3 linked regions of the Sus scrofa genome follow. The protein of the gene in region 3 purifies or fractionates together with the protein of the main gene of each other region. This does not show direct contact. Links are inferred from orthologs where the notes say so. Each region holds a gene or a part of one and is shown on either strand. Other genes may lie near its edges.

Region 1 (3,656 bases), on a different chromosome or scaffold from region 3:
AAAAAAAAATAAAGGCTCTACCTACCTTGTCCAGTTTGACACCTTCGACCACTTTCAAAAGAAAAGAGATTTGAATCATAGCCATAGCGTCGGAGGCAGAGGTAGTGCCATTTTACCGAGTCACGCTTGCGTGTGTATAAAATCAGTTCTGTGTCTGTAAGTTCCATTATGCCAGAACCTAACTCATTTCCATCATCATCCACATTAATGACCTAAAAAAGAAGGTTTAATTAGTGCTAACCTATATGCTCCCACTTGACAGTCCTATAAATATTTCACTAATTGGCCAGGAAAATGTACTGTGGCTGATTGGTTCAGTTATTTGCTCCTCTATTAGTTAAATCATCAACTACCATGTGTACAGGGCATGGACTGTGTGGCGGTGTAAACCGGTTCATATCCACAAAACTCACATTCCCTCTGAGGAGATAAGATAGACAAACACAAAGTCAACACCACAAAACTGTACGTGATTAATTTACACATGAGTGCAAGAGAGGCTGTACAATGGATGAACTATGGCTGAGGGTTGTTGGAGAACAACACTTCACATACGTAGAGAAGGAACTTTAGCTGGGCTTTGAGTATAATTAAAGTTAGATAGGAAATAAAATTAAGAGGAAGAGTTGATGGGTCAGGAGTTGAGAGGCACATTCTGAAGATGCAGTGCTACAGCAGAGACAACAAGGTGTGTTCAGAGAGACCAAGACAGGACTGGCACTGAGTCATATAAGGGAAGGCCTTACACAGCTGAGTTTCAGAAAATGGCCAGAGACTATGAAGAATAGATAACGCTTAGGGAGAACCTAGTGGGGAAAGTGCTTTCCTTGTATTTTTGTCATTTAATACTCACACCAATCCCTTTTTTTTTTTTTCACTCGCACCAGTTCTATACTACAGGTAATACAATTTTCTCTGTTACATGCTAATGAACAAAGACTTAGTGATAATGTAACCTGCCCAAAGTCACAAAGCTATGAAGGACTGTGACTTACACCGGGTTATTGTGAACAAGAGACTATGATTTAGAGCAGAGTGAAGTGAGAATATGAGAGATACTAATGTCTCTGGATACGTAAGGAATGGAACATTTAGTTTTGGTGATAATACAATAGCACCAAAGTTTTAGAATGATGAAAGAAGAAGATTAATTTGATGTCACCTGCAGATGGATCACAGAGGTGACTGGAAGCAGTTAAGAAATTTCCCCGCCATTAAACAATGACTGGGAGTGAATGACAGGACCCATAAAATGGCATTCTACGGACAATACTATCAATTGATGATTTCAAAGAGGGCTGATGGACCAAATCCAGGACCTCTTAACCGTAACCAGAGATTAAGTTCTTCATAGGACTCAATAATGCTATGTTTTTCTGATGGAGATATAAGATTTACCACTCATACCCATGACCGGTGATGCGGGAAAGTAAAAATAAATGTAAATGTCTTCCAAGTTTAAAAAAATAGTTAAAAGATTTTTAAAAAAGACAATATTATCAGAATTATATAGCTAATTGGATATGGAAGACTGAAGAAAAAGAAAAGAAAAGAGGATTTCACAACTGCCAGTAAGAAAATGTTGTCATCATGTGTTAAAACAAGAAAAGGCAGAATGGACAAAAAGGAAAATGAAAGGATCTGAAGATAAACGTAAAGGAAGTAATAAGTATGTTAAGTGAGGTAAAAGAGCATTCTGTCAGGTAGTGAGAAATACAACTCAATGAATTTTACTGACCTTAAACTTGTTCCGGTGGTTATCTGGGACAGTGTCTTTATCTGGACAGCTACAACAGCTACCCATGGCTTCTTCAGAAGACCATGTGAGCACTACATGAAAGACAATTTGCAAAAAATTATTAGATGTAGGATAAAAAAATCATAAGACAGAAAAAAACTTTAGAAATCATCCAATACAAGCCCTGCAGTATTTTGATGAGGAAAGTTAAGCCTAACAAGGTAAATGGCTAGAGCTAGATTTCACCCAATTGGCTGGTAAATTTTGCTCAGTGACAACAACAATAATTTTGTGAGGTAGACTTCACAGAAATCTCAATTTAATTTGCAAAGGTCTGGCTATTTTAGAATTACCTAAGGAGTTCCTCTGTGGTTCCCTGGGTTAAAGACCCAGCATTGTCATGCTGTGGCATGGGTTCAATCCCTGGCCAGGGAACTTCCTAATGCCATGGGGGCAGCCAAAAAGAAACAAAAATTGTTTCAAATAAACCAATTTAAGGCCTCACACATAAGACTATTAAAGTCATTCATGGAATTAACCCTTTATAGCTTATCAGGAATTTTGTGTCTGTCTTTTCATAAATTTCCGAAAGGATGGCTAGGTAAGTAAGTATTTGATTTATACTACTCACTATAGTATTCTTTAAGTAGCCCACCAGACAAGAGTTTATTGGTTAATAAAAAACAAAAATAAATCTGCAATAGTTCATTTAGAGAGAAAGGCAACCCAAAATTCAAGCAATAACACAGAGAATACTGGGAAAACTGAGAGTGTATCTAATCTTTTCCCACAGAAGGCTAGAAATAAGAGGTTATAGTGACATTAAGTGTTCAAGATTTCTCCAGGTGAACAAAGGAAAAATTCAAAACTTCACTTATAAACAAGGGAAAAAGTCAGAATGGACGTGATAGCATTTGAAGAAAAAAAGGAAGACGAAAGGAAGCATAAGAACCTACTAAACATTAAAACATAAATCTGATTAAGACTTGCTTAAAATTCTTCATGGTTCTTCACTACTTTCAAGAAAAAATGCAAAGCATGACATGATGCCTCTCACAATCTGGTGTGGCAAAAAAAAAAAAAAAAAAAAAGTCCGCAAATAATAAATGCTAGACACGGTGTGGGAAAAAGGGAACCTTCCTACACTGTTGGTGGCAATGTAAATTTTGGCGCAGCACATCATGGAAAACAGTATGGAGGTTCCTCAAAAAACTAAAAATAGAGTTGCTATATGATCCAGCATTCCCCACTCCTGAGCATATATCTGGATAAAACCAATTCAAAAAGATACATGAACCCCTATGTTCATAGCAGCACTATTGATAATAGTCAAGACATGGAAGCAATCAAAATGTCCATCAACAGATGAAGGGATAAAGAGTATGTGGGGGTGGAGTTTCTGTTGTGGCTCAGTGGTTAACGGATCCGACTAGGAACCATGAGGTTGCGGGTTCGATCCCTGCTCTTGCTCAGTGGGTTAACGATCTGGCATTGCCATGAGCTGTGGTGTAGGTCGCAGACTCGGCTTGGATTCTGCGTAGCTGTGGCTCTGGCATGGGCTGGCAGCTACAGCTCTGATTAGACCCCTAGCCTGGGAACCTCCATATGCCGCGGGAGCGGCCCAAGAAATGGTAAAAAGACCAAAAAAAAAAAAGAGTGTGTGTGTGTGTGTGTGTGTGTGTGTGTGATGGAGTATTACTCGGGCATAAAAAGGAATGAAATAATGCCATTCATAGCAACATGGATGGACTTAGAGATCATACTAAGTGAAGTATGTGAGACAGTGAAAGATAAATACCACATGATATCACCTACATGTGGAATCTAAAACATGACACAAATGAACTTATTTACACAACAGAAACAGATTCACAGACATTGAAGACAAACTTATGGTTACCAAAGGGGAAGAGGGTGG
Region 2 (3,656 bases), on a different chromosome or scaffold from region 3:
ACTTTTGTTTCTCTCTAGACACTACAACAACAGGAGTGCAAGCTTCTCTATAGCCGAAAAGAGGGTCAGAGGCAAGAAAATAAAAACAAAAATAGATATAAAAACATCCTGCCCTGTAAGTATCAATGTATTTCTCAATATCAGTCACTTTTGGAGATTTTTTTTTTTTTCAGGGCTGTACCCATGGCATATGTAGGTTCCCAGGCTAGGGGTCAAATTAGAGCTATAGCCGCTGGCCTATGCCACAGTCACAGCAATGCCAGATCCTTAACCCACTGAGCGAGGCCAGGGATCAAACCTATGTCCTGAAGGATATTAGTCAGATTTGTTTCCACTGTGCTGTGATGGGAATTCCACTTTTGGAGATTTTGATTCCCCAAGGCTTGCCATCTCCCAGGGTCTCACCACGATCCTCAGGGGTTCCAGGCTTGTGTCCTTGCTCTGCAGACGTTGGCGCATGTACTTTTGTACAGAATTTAGTCAGTAAATAATTGTCATCAGAATCTTGTCATTTAGATACTGTATTTAATGCTACTTCATTAAAAGAACTTTTTATTATGGAAAGTTTAAAATATATTCAAAAGTAGAGTAGTATAAAGAACCCACGGGTACCCATCACCCAGCTCCAACAATTGTCAACTCATGCCCAGTCTTGATTCATCTATATTCTGTTACACTTTGCTTCTCTCCCTGAATTATATTGAAGCATATCTCAGATATCATTGTTATTTATCTGTACTTTACTCTTCTTTTTTTTTTTTAAAATCCTTTTTGTTTTGAAATGATTTTTAGATTCACACACGAAGTTACAAAGATATGTAGGGGGTTTCCCTTGTACCCTTTACCCAGCTTCTCCCAGTGAAAATGTCTTATCTATCCATAGTGCATTATCAACACCAGGGAATTGACATTACTACTTTAGTCTCCTTAAAGAAAACATTATGAGGCCTCATGTTCAGATTATTGTCATATTCACTTAGAGTTTAGTTTTTGATGCTGTTTAATCATTAAATGAACACAACTTGGACGAAGTTGAGGTTGAACTGATTTGAACTGACCTGCCCTGAGAGGTCTGGGTACTTTTGTGACTATGCTCTCGTTTTCTTCCAGTTGATCATACCAGAGTCGTCTTACATGATGGTGATCCCAATGAGCCTGTTTCAGATTACATCAATGCAAATATCATCATGGTAAACTTGGCTTTTCACAGTGTTTCTGACTTTACCTTGCTAGCCGATTTTTGTATTATAAATCCTTCCTTCCTAAAAGCAGCTTTCAGATGTTTGAAGGATTTTCTTCCTAAATTTCTAGCCTGAATTTGAAACCAAGTGCAACAACTCAAAGCCCAAAAAGAGTTACATTGCCACCCAAGGCTGCCTGCAAAACACGGTGAATGACTTTTGGAGGATGGTATTTCAGGAGAACTCCCGAGTAATTGTCATGACAACAAAAGAAGTGGAGAGAGGAAAGGTATACTACATACTCTGCTTTTTTAAAGTATTGGACATGTCAGGTTGATCATGTTAAGAACTGAATAAACACATTTCACTTTCTCTTACCCTCTGGAAAAAAGGGATCAGGAGAAATTTGGTTATGACATACTTTGGTATAGTTTTCTTTATATTTCTTCTGCTTGGAAGTCATGGAACTTCTTGGGTCTGTGGACTTACAATTTTCTTCAAATGTGAGTAATGTTTACTATGTCTTCAAATATGTACCCTCAACCCACTTTTTCTGGATACCAATTACACGTATATTAGGCTCTTTAAAGTTGTCCTATTGCTCATTGAGACCTGGTTCCCCTCTGTGTTTTGTTTTGGATAAGTTTCTTTTGCTATACATCTTTCAGTTAATCTTTTCTTCTGCAGGGTATAATCTGCTGTTTGTCTTCTCCAGTGAAATTTTCATGCAGACCTTCTGATAATCTCCTCCCTTGGTATTCCCCCGGTGCACAGAAGGAAAACCAGACTCTGGACTGCCTTTGATTCCTGGGCTTTAATTTAAAGCTAAAGTATTAGGGCTTGCAGTTTAGAATTTGTTTGCCAAGGTTTATATCAAGAGTTTGGGAAGCTGGGAGGGGAGCACAGTACTTTGCAGAAGTGTAGTGTCAGCTACGGTGTTAGGAGTTGTGGTTTAATTTGTGTTCTCTTGAGCGACCAGCAGTCCTCAGAATGGATTGACCACTAACCGCATTGATACACTTAATAGTAAGTGTTTATTTGGGATAATAAAAATTGAATCAAATCTGTCAAAGAGGTATTTGGATCTGCAGCATACTAGAGGGAAAGACAAATTCAGAATAATAAATAAAAGACCGCATAAACTGTGCCAAGCAAAAAACTAGCACCATCCATTAATTCTTCTGTCGAACTTTCCTTCTACCATTTTTTTCCCCACTTCATCATCGTGGGGAATGTCTGTAGCTGCTGTCTTATTTCTTGTGTAATAACAGTGAATTTCTCTGTTTTCCCGATGTACAAGGTAGCTTTCTCTTGCTGATGTTTGTGTCTTGGTGGTTGTGGAAAGTGAGTGGTGTGGGTGACCGCTCCCAGGAAAAAACAAGACACAAAAGCGTTCTCTGCCCAGGATACATCACCAAATACATGCAGACTCATCTCTCAGTGAGCGAAATCTCTTCCTTTTTGGCAGCAAGCATGATTCTCTTGGTGCCATGTTTTCCAATCTGCCTGCTCTGAAGCCAGCAGCTATTGCGGGCTTGGCGTTCCCAGGCACCCAGTTATGTGAAGGTGGCATGTGTAGCAGGTATCAAATGGATCTGGATATAGAAAAAGCAGCTGGTTCAGACCCCATATCAGCTGCCTTTCTGTGCTGGAGTTATTCACACTTAGGTTAGATAAGGCACGGAGGCCTCCCACACTGGTGCGGAAAGGAACCAGACAGTCTGGCTCACTGGGCAGCCCATCCACCTCCAGAGTCCCTGCTCGCCTTCCCTGCAGAGTGACTGGCAGATTCCGGAATTCAGAGCTCAGTGGTTGCTAGACAAGCACCCTTGCATGGGGTAGTTCCCCTCTCTCTGCCTCAGGTTCTTTGGGAGAGAAATAAATGAGCACCGGCTCTCCTCTGACTTGTGGCTTAGGGCAGACAGCTCTGCAGTGGTGGCTTTCTCTTCCCACTTCTCCTTGGTTCACCATGCACCGACTTTTCTTATTTGAACTCTTCTTTCCTTTTCTTTGAAAATCCAACAGTTAGATACCAGATAGGCTCTCTTCCAAGTTAGCGGTCGTTAAGACTCAAACATTGGTGGTTCTCTGCTGCTTTAGGCTTTCATACCAGAGTTCACAGAGATTAACTGTCTTTTCTCTGATCCCTTCCAGAGTAAATGTGTCAAATACTGGCCTGATGAGTATGCGCTAAAAGAATACGGGGTCATGCGCGTTAGGAACGTCAAAGAAAGTGCCGCTCATGACTATACATTAAGAGAACTTAAACTTTCAAAGGTCGGACAAGTAAGTATATTGTCGTACTTTAGAGACTTTGTAACTGCTAATCCAGTGTGGTGCAGTTACTTCTGTTGGCAAACATTCAGGCATTCCTTCACTTATTGATTGACGTCCATTTGTTGGGTACCTTTTATGTACCAGGGACCGTGGAGGTACTACTGGTACATCGCAAACCAGATCAGCGCCATCCCTGCA
Region 3 (3,651 bases):
TATGTTATAGTGGAGATTAATAACACTTTTTCTCTTTAACAAGTAGCATGCATTTCAGTCACAGTATTTGTTAGACTCAGAAGATCAGTACATAGGCTTAATGAATAATCTGTATTATGTTATTAATGATGTAGATAGATGTTCTATTATGAGCAGTTCTGATAGAGCAAAGACCTCAAGCAAGGTAGAATGTTTAATATAAAACTTTAACAAACTGTATACATGTTGCCTAGGAAATTAAAAACCTTACAAAGCTCTGCTTAAAAGATATCCATCCTATTCTAACCAAATATTTTCCTACATGCCAAATGTCATTCTTTAAGATGAATACATACATCTAGAACTAGAAACCAAGGCGTACCACAATACGTGCTTTTATGCTTAGTGTTTGTGTGTTTGAACTGAAAGAAATAAGAATCAACCATTTTATCCAGATAATAATTTAATATATGCCAGCCAAACAAAGTATTTGTATCTTTATTCAATTAAATTAAAACAGACCTGCCAGGTATATTATATAACATTCACTATATACACATGATTTAGGCAATGCAAGGTAATTCTCGATATGCTCATCACTCAACTATTAGTAAAACATGAACGGTGTCAATGATGCCCAGCAAGTGCTCCTTTCACACTGGGTGACTGCATTTCCAGAGTGGTTAGAGGGACAGCTACAAGCCATGACATGGATTACCAGTAAACTTTGTGGGAGAAGGGGGGAAAATGACAATCTAGCACAGATTAACAGTCTCCTAAGTGTAAATCATATACTCGACAGTTACATTTTTTAAAAAGTTCTTCTGTCAGTATTAATGACATAAAACTTCTCTTGTTTGAAGGCAACACCACCACGTTTTGTTTGTGTAGGGAAGGTGAGTAGGGAAATGCTCTTAAAATTGGTATAATTACTCTTAAAAAAAAAAAAAGTACCTCTTTGGTGAAGCCTCGGTACCCATTCATTTCACTGTAATTATCTGTAAACAGGACTGTAGTACAGTGCTGGGCCTTGATTCCAACAAGTCAGGTACCACAGCCTTTCCTCACAGTCCTCTGAATGATTTTTAAGAAAATATTCTAAAGTAGGACGAGTAAAAGCAAAGGAAAACAAAGGAGGGTTTGAAGATCCCTGTTTAAGATTTTTTAAAAAGTGCATAATATTTTGAATTACAAAAACTGTCATCATGTGGGCCTGTTGGACACTAGACTGTGTTTTCCATCCCTTTAATGAGAAAGATCACTTCACAAAAAGAGGACTCCTGCCTACTGGCTGGAAAAAGTCCCTTTACTTGATTTTCAGGTGCAATCAGTTGTCCACTTCCTCTAGATCAGTCTTTCCATATTCTAAACAAACACCATTTTCATTTTATAATTTTGTCTCGGTTAAGTTCATTGTCTTATACTGCATCTTGAAGTAGAGTCATTAGTGTTTGGAGCTCTCATTTTTAACTCCTCAGTGCTGGCACATTCAGTGCATCCATTGCCAGCAATGGATTTGGGGTGAAGAAAATGGACATCCCGGTACAGAGGAGTTCAGGAAGAATGGGCGTTCTCCAACAGTGGTGGTCCATCTCTGTGCATGGATGGGTGTGTGTGCTCCCTTTTGTAAGTTTTTGGAGGGAGTTTGGGGATATGTTGAGAAGTGCTTTGTCGTGGAGGAACAGGTGGCCCAGCAATGGAATGAAGGTCTACTTCCTGTGTCAATGGTGGTGATGGTAGATGCCTTCTGGTGCCGTGAGGAGAAGGTGTTTGAGGAGGAGGTGGTGTAAAGGGGGAAGGGCTATTTGGGAAGAAGGCATTACTATGGTCACTTTTTTTGCCCAAAGGGGGAGGTTGGAGATGTAGTGGTGAGCTTGAGAAAACATCAGGTGTCCTCACAGGTTCTCGTGGTGGTAGTAAGGGAGGGCTTTCAGGAGGGTCTGATATAGAGGTCCGGTCTGATATGGAATATCGTGGTGAATAGGCTTTTGATGTGGGTTGCCTAGGAGGAATTGCTGGGGGGCTGTCCAAATGCTTAGACATAATCTAACATAAATGGAAAAAAAAAAAAAAGACATGCATTAAAAATTTATTTAGCACCATGAATATATTAATAATTAAGCTGGGGTTTTCAAACATGCTATTGGAAGAACTCTAGGTGTGGATCAGGGAGTTCTGCCATAGGTATTATTTATTTCATTAAATTAATTAATTAATTTAGTCTTTTTAGGGCCACACCCGTGGCATATGGAGGTTCCCAGGCTAGGGGTCTAATCGGAGCTGTGGCTGCCGGCCTACACCAGCCATAGCAAGGCCGGATCCTTAACCCATTGAGCAAGGTCAGGGATCAAACCCGCAACCTCATGGTTCCTTGTTGGATTCATTTCCTCGCGCCAGGACAGGAACTCCACCATAGGTTTTAAATTGGAGGTTGTGGCAATTCATTCATTAAAAGAAAATTTTTCCCCTCAAAGTTTTTATCTTATTTTTTGTAAAATTTTGTAGTTTGCTACTGCTTACCTATCACTCAGTAATGTATGATCACTTCTGATTTAACCTAAGTTACCTACCAATTTTTACAATTTTAAACTTACTACATTAACATTTCATGATATTCTGCAAAGAATATCTTGACTCGCCCAGGTGCTCTGACCTCTGGACACTTTGAGACCACTGCATCATGTTAACAGGTGGCAAACACAGAAATTCAAACAGGTAGAAAAAAATAGCTATTATGAGCCTTTAAGGTCTCTTCCAACCCAAAATCTTCATGAAAATCCTATTTAAAAGCATGTCAGATTCACTATTAAGGACTCAGGTAATGTTTAGCACTAAGATACAGTTTCATTCAGAATGTGTTTCATATAAAGCTTCAGACCTCTTTCCTCTCTCTCTCCTTCTTTGTCTTTTGTATGTTTTTAAAGAACTGCCTGAGACTACATTACTCTTACATTATATGTTAAATTTGCTTTTTTGCGACAGTACCCATAATTTAGATTTACAAGGGTTTTGAAAATCATCCCCAAAACTGCTTTCAGAAGAAAGGAAATAAAAATTACTGCCTGTAAATCTGTATTTAATCCTTGTTTAAACTCTGTTAAAGCCCAAATACTGTTAACCAAATCCAGTTAAAACTAGACACAAGCAATTGATTATAATGTAACTATAATGATTCTGGTTTCCAGATAACAAGATTTTCTACTTTACCTTAGATGGCGAAGATTCCGCTGGGGCAGATTCTGGTCGTCTTCGTGGAGGAACAGGAGGGGGGACAGGCACTTCATCAGTGCTCTTGGTTAAGCTTATAGATGATACTGAAGCAGATCCTGTAGGATGTTAAATTTTTTGAAAAGTTCACAGGAATTTTATTTCATCTATTAATCCTGAAAAGACTTGGAAACTGCTTATATTTATTAAAAGAAATGTACAGAAGTATCAAAAGCAGTTCAATACATCAACACCCAAATATTATTTCCTTTATTAAAGCAAAATGCTATGAAAGCATGCAGAAATCCTTAGCAGAATTTTCAAGAAAAAAAAGCTGCCTAAAATACTCTGTTACTCTGCTTCTTAAACAAAACAATGTTCCCATTGTTAATAATCTATTACTGGAATTTTTTATTTGGGTCCCAGTCTTGGACTTTTGAGAGAGACAGCAAACTATTAAACACC

What was found.
Region 1: the proteins of SOS1 (region 3) and FRS2 purify together in Homo sapiens (affinity purification with western blotting; 5 studies listed by BioGRID). This does not show direct contact. The link is inferred for Sus scrofa from reciprocal best matches to the Homo sapiens genes SOS1 and FRS2.
Region 2: the proteins of SOS1 (region 3) and PTPN11 purify together in Homo sapiens (affinity purification with western blotting; 4 studies listed by BioGRID and IntAct, with this or other methods). This does not show direct contact. The link is inferred for Sus scrofa from reciprocal best matches to the Homo sapiens genes SOS1 and PTPN11.

What each region holds. Positions count from the first base shown.
Region 1 is NC_010447.5:33,840,367-33,844,022, reverse strand, and holds part of FRS2 (fibroblast growth factor receptor substrate 2), read right to left. Parts: intron 1,831-3,656; coding exon 1,739-1,830; intron 213-1,738; coding exon 26-212; intron 1-25. UniProt on the Homo sapiens protein: Adapter protein that links activated FGR and NGF receptors to downstream signaling pathways.
Region 2 is NC_010456.5:39,229,451-39,233,106, reverse strand, and holds part of PTPN11 (tyrosine-protein phosphatase non-receptor type 11), read left to right. Parts: intron 1-18; coding exon 19-115; intron 116-1,110; coding exon 1,111-1,190; intron 1,191-1,311; coding exon 1,312-1,470; intron 1,471-3,335; coding exon 3,336-3,467; intron 3,468-3,656. UniProt on the Homo sapiens protein: Acts downstream of various receptor and cytoplasmic protein tyrosine kinases to participate in the signal transduction from the cell surface to the nucleus. Positively regulates MAPK signal transduction pathway. Dephosphorylates GAB1, ARHGAP35 and EGFR.
Region 3 is NC_010445.4:101,359,506-101,363,156, reverse strand, and holds part of SOS1 (son of sevenless homolog 1), read right to left. Parts: intron 3,306-3,651; coding exon 3,187-3,305; intron 2,026-3,186; coding exon 1,534-2,025; 3' UTR 1-1,533.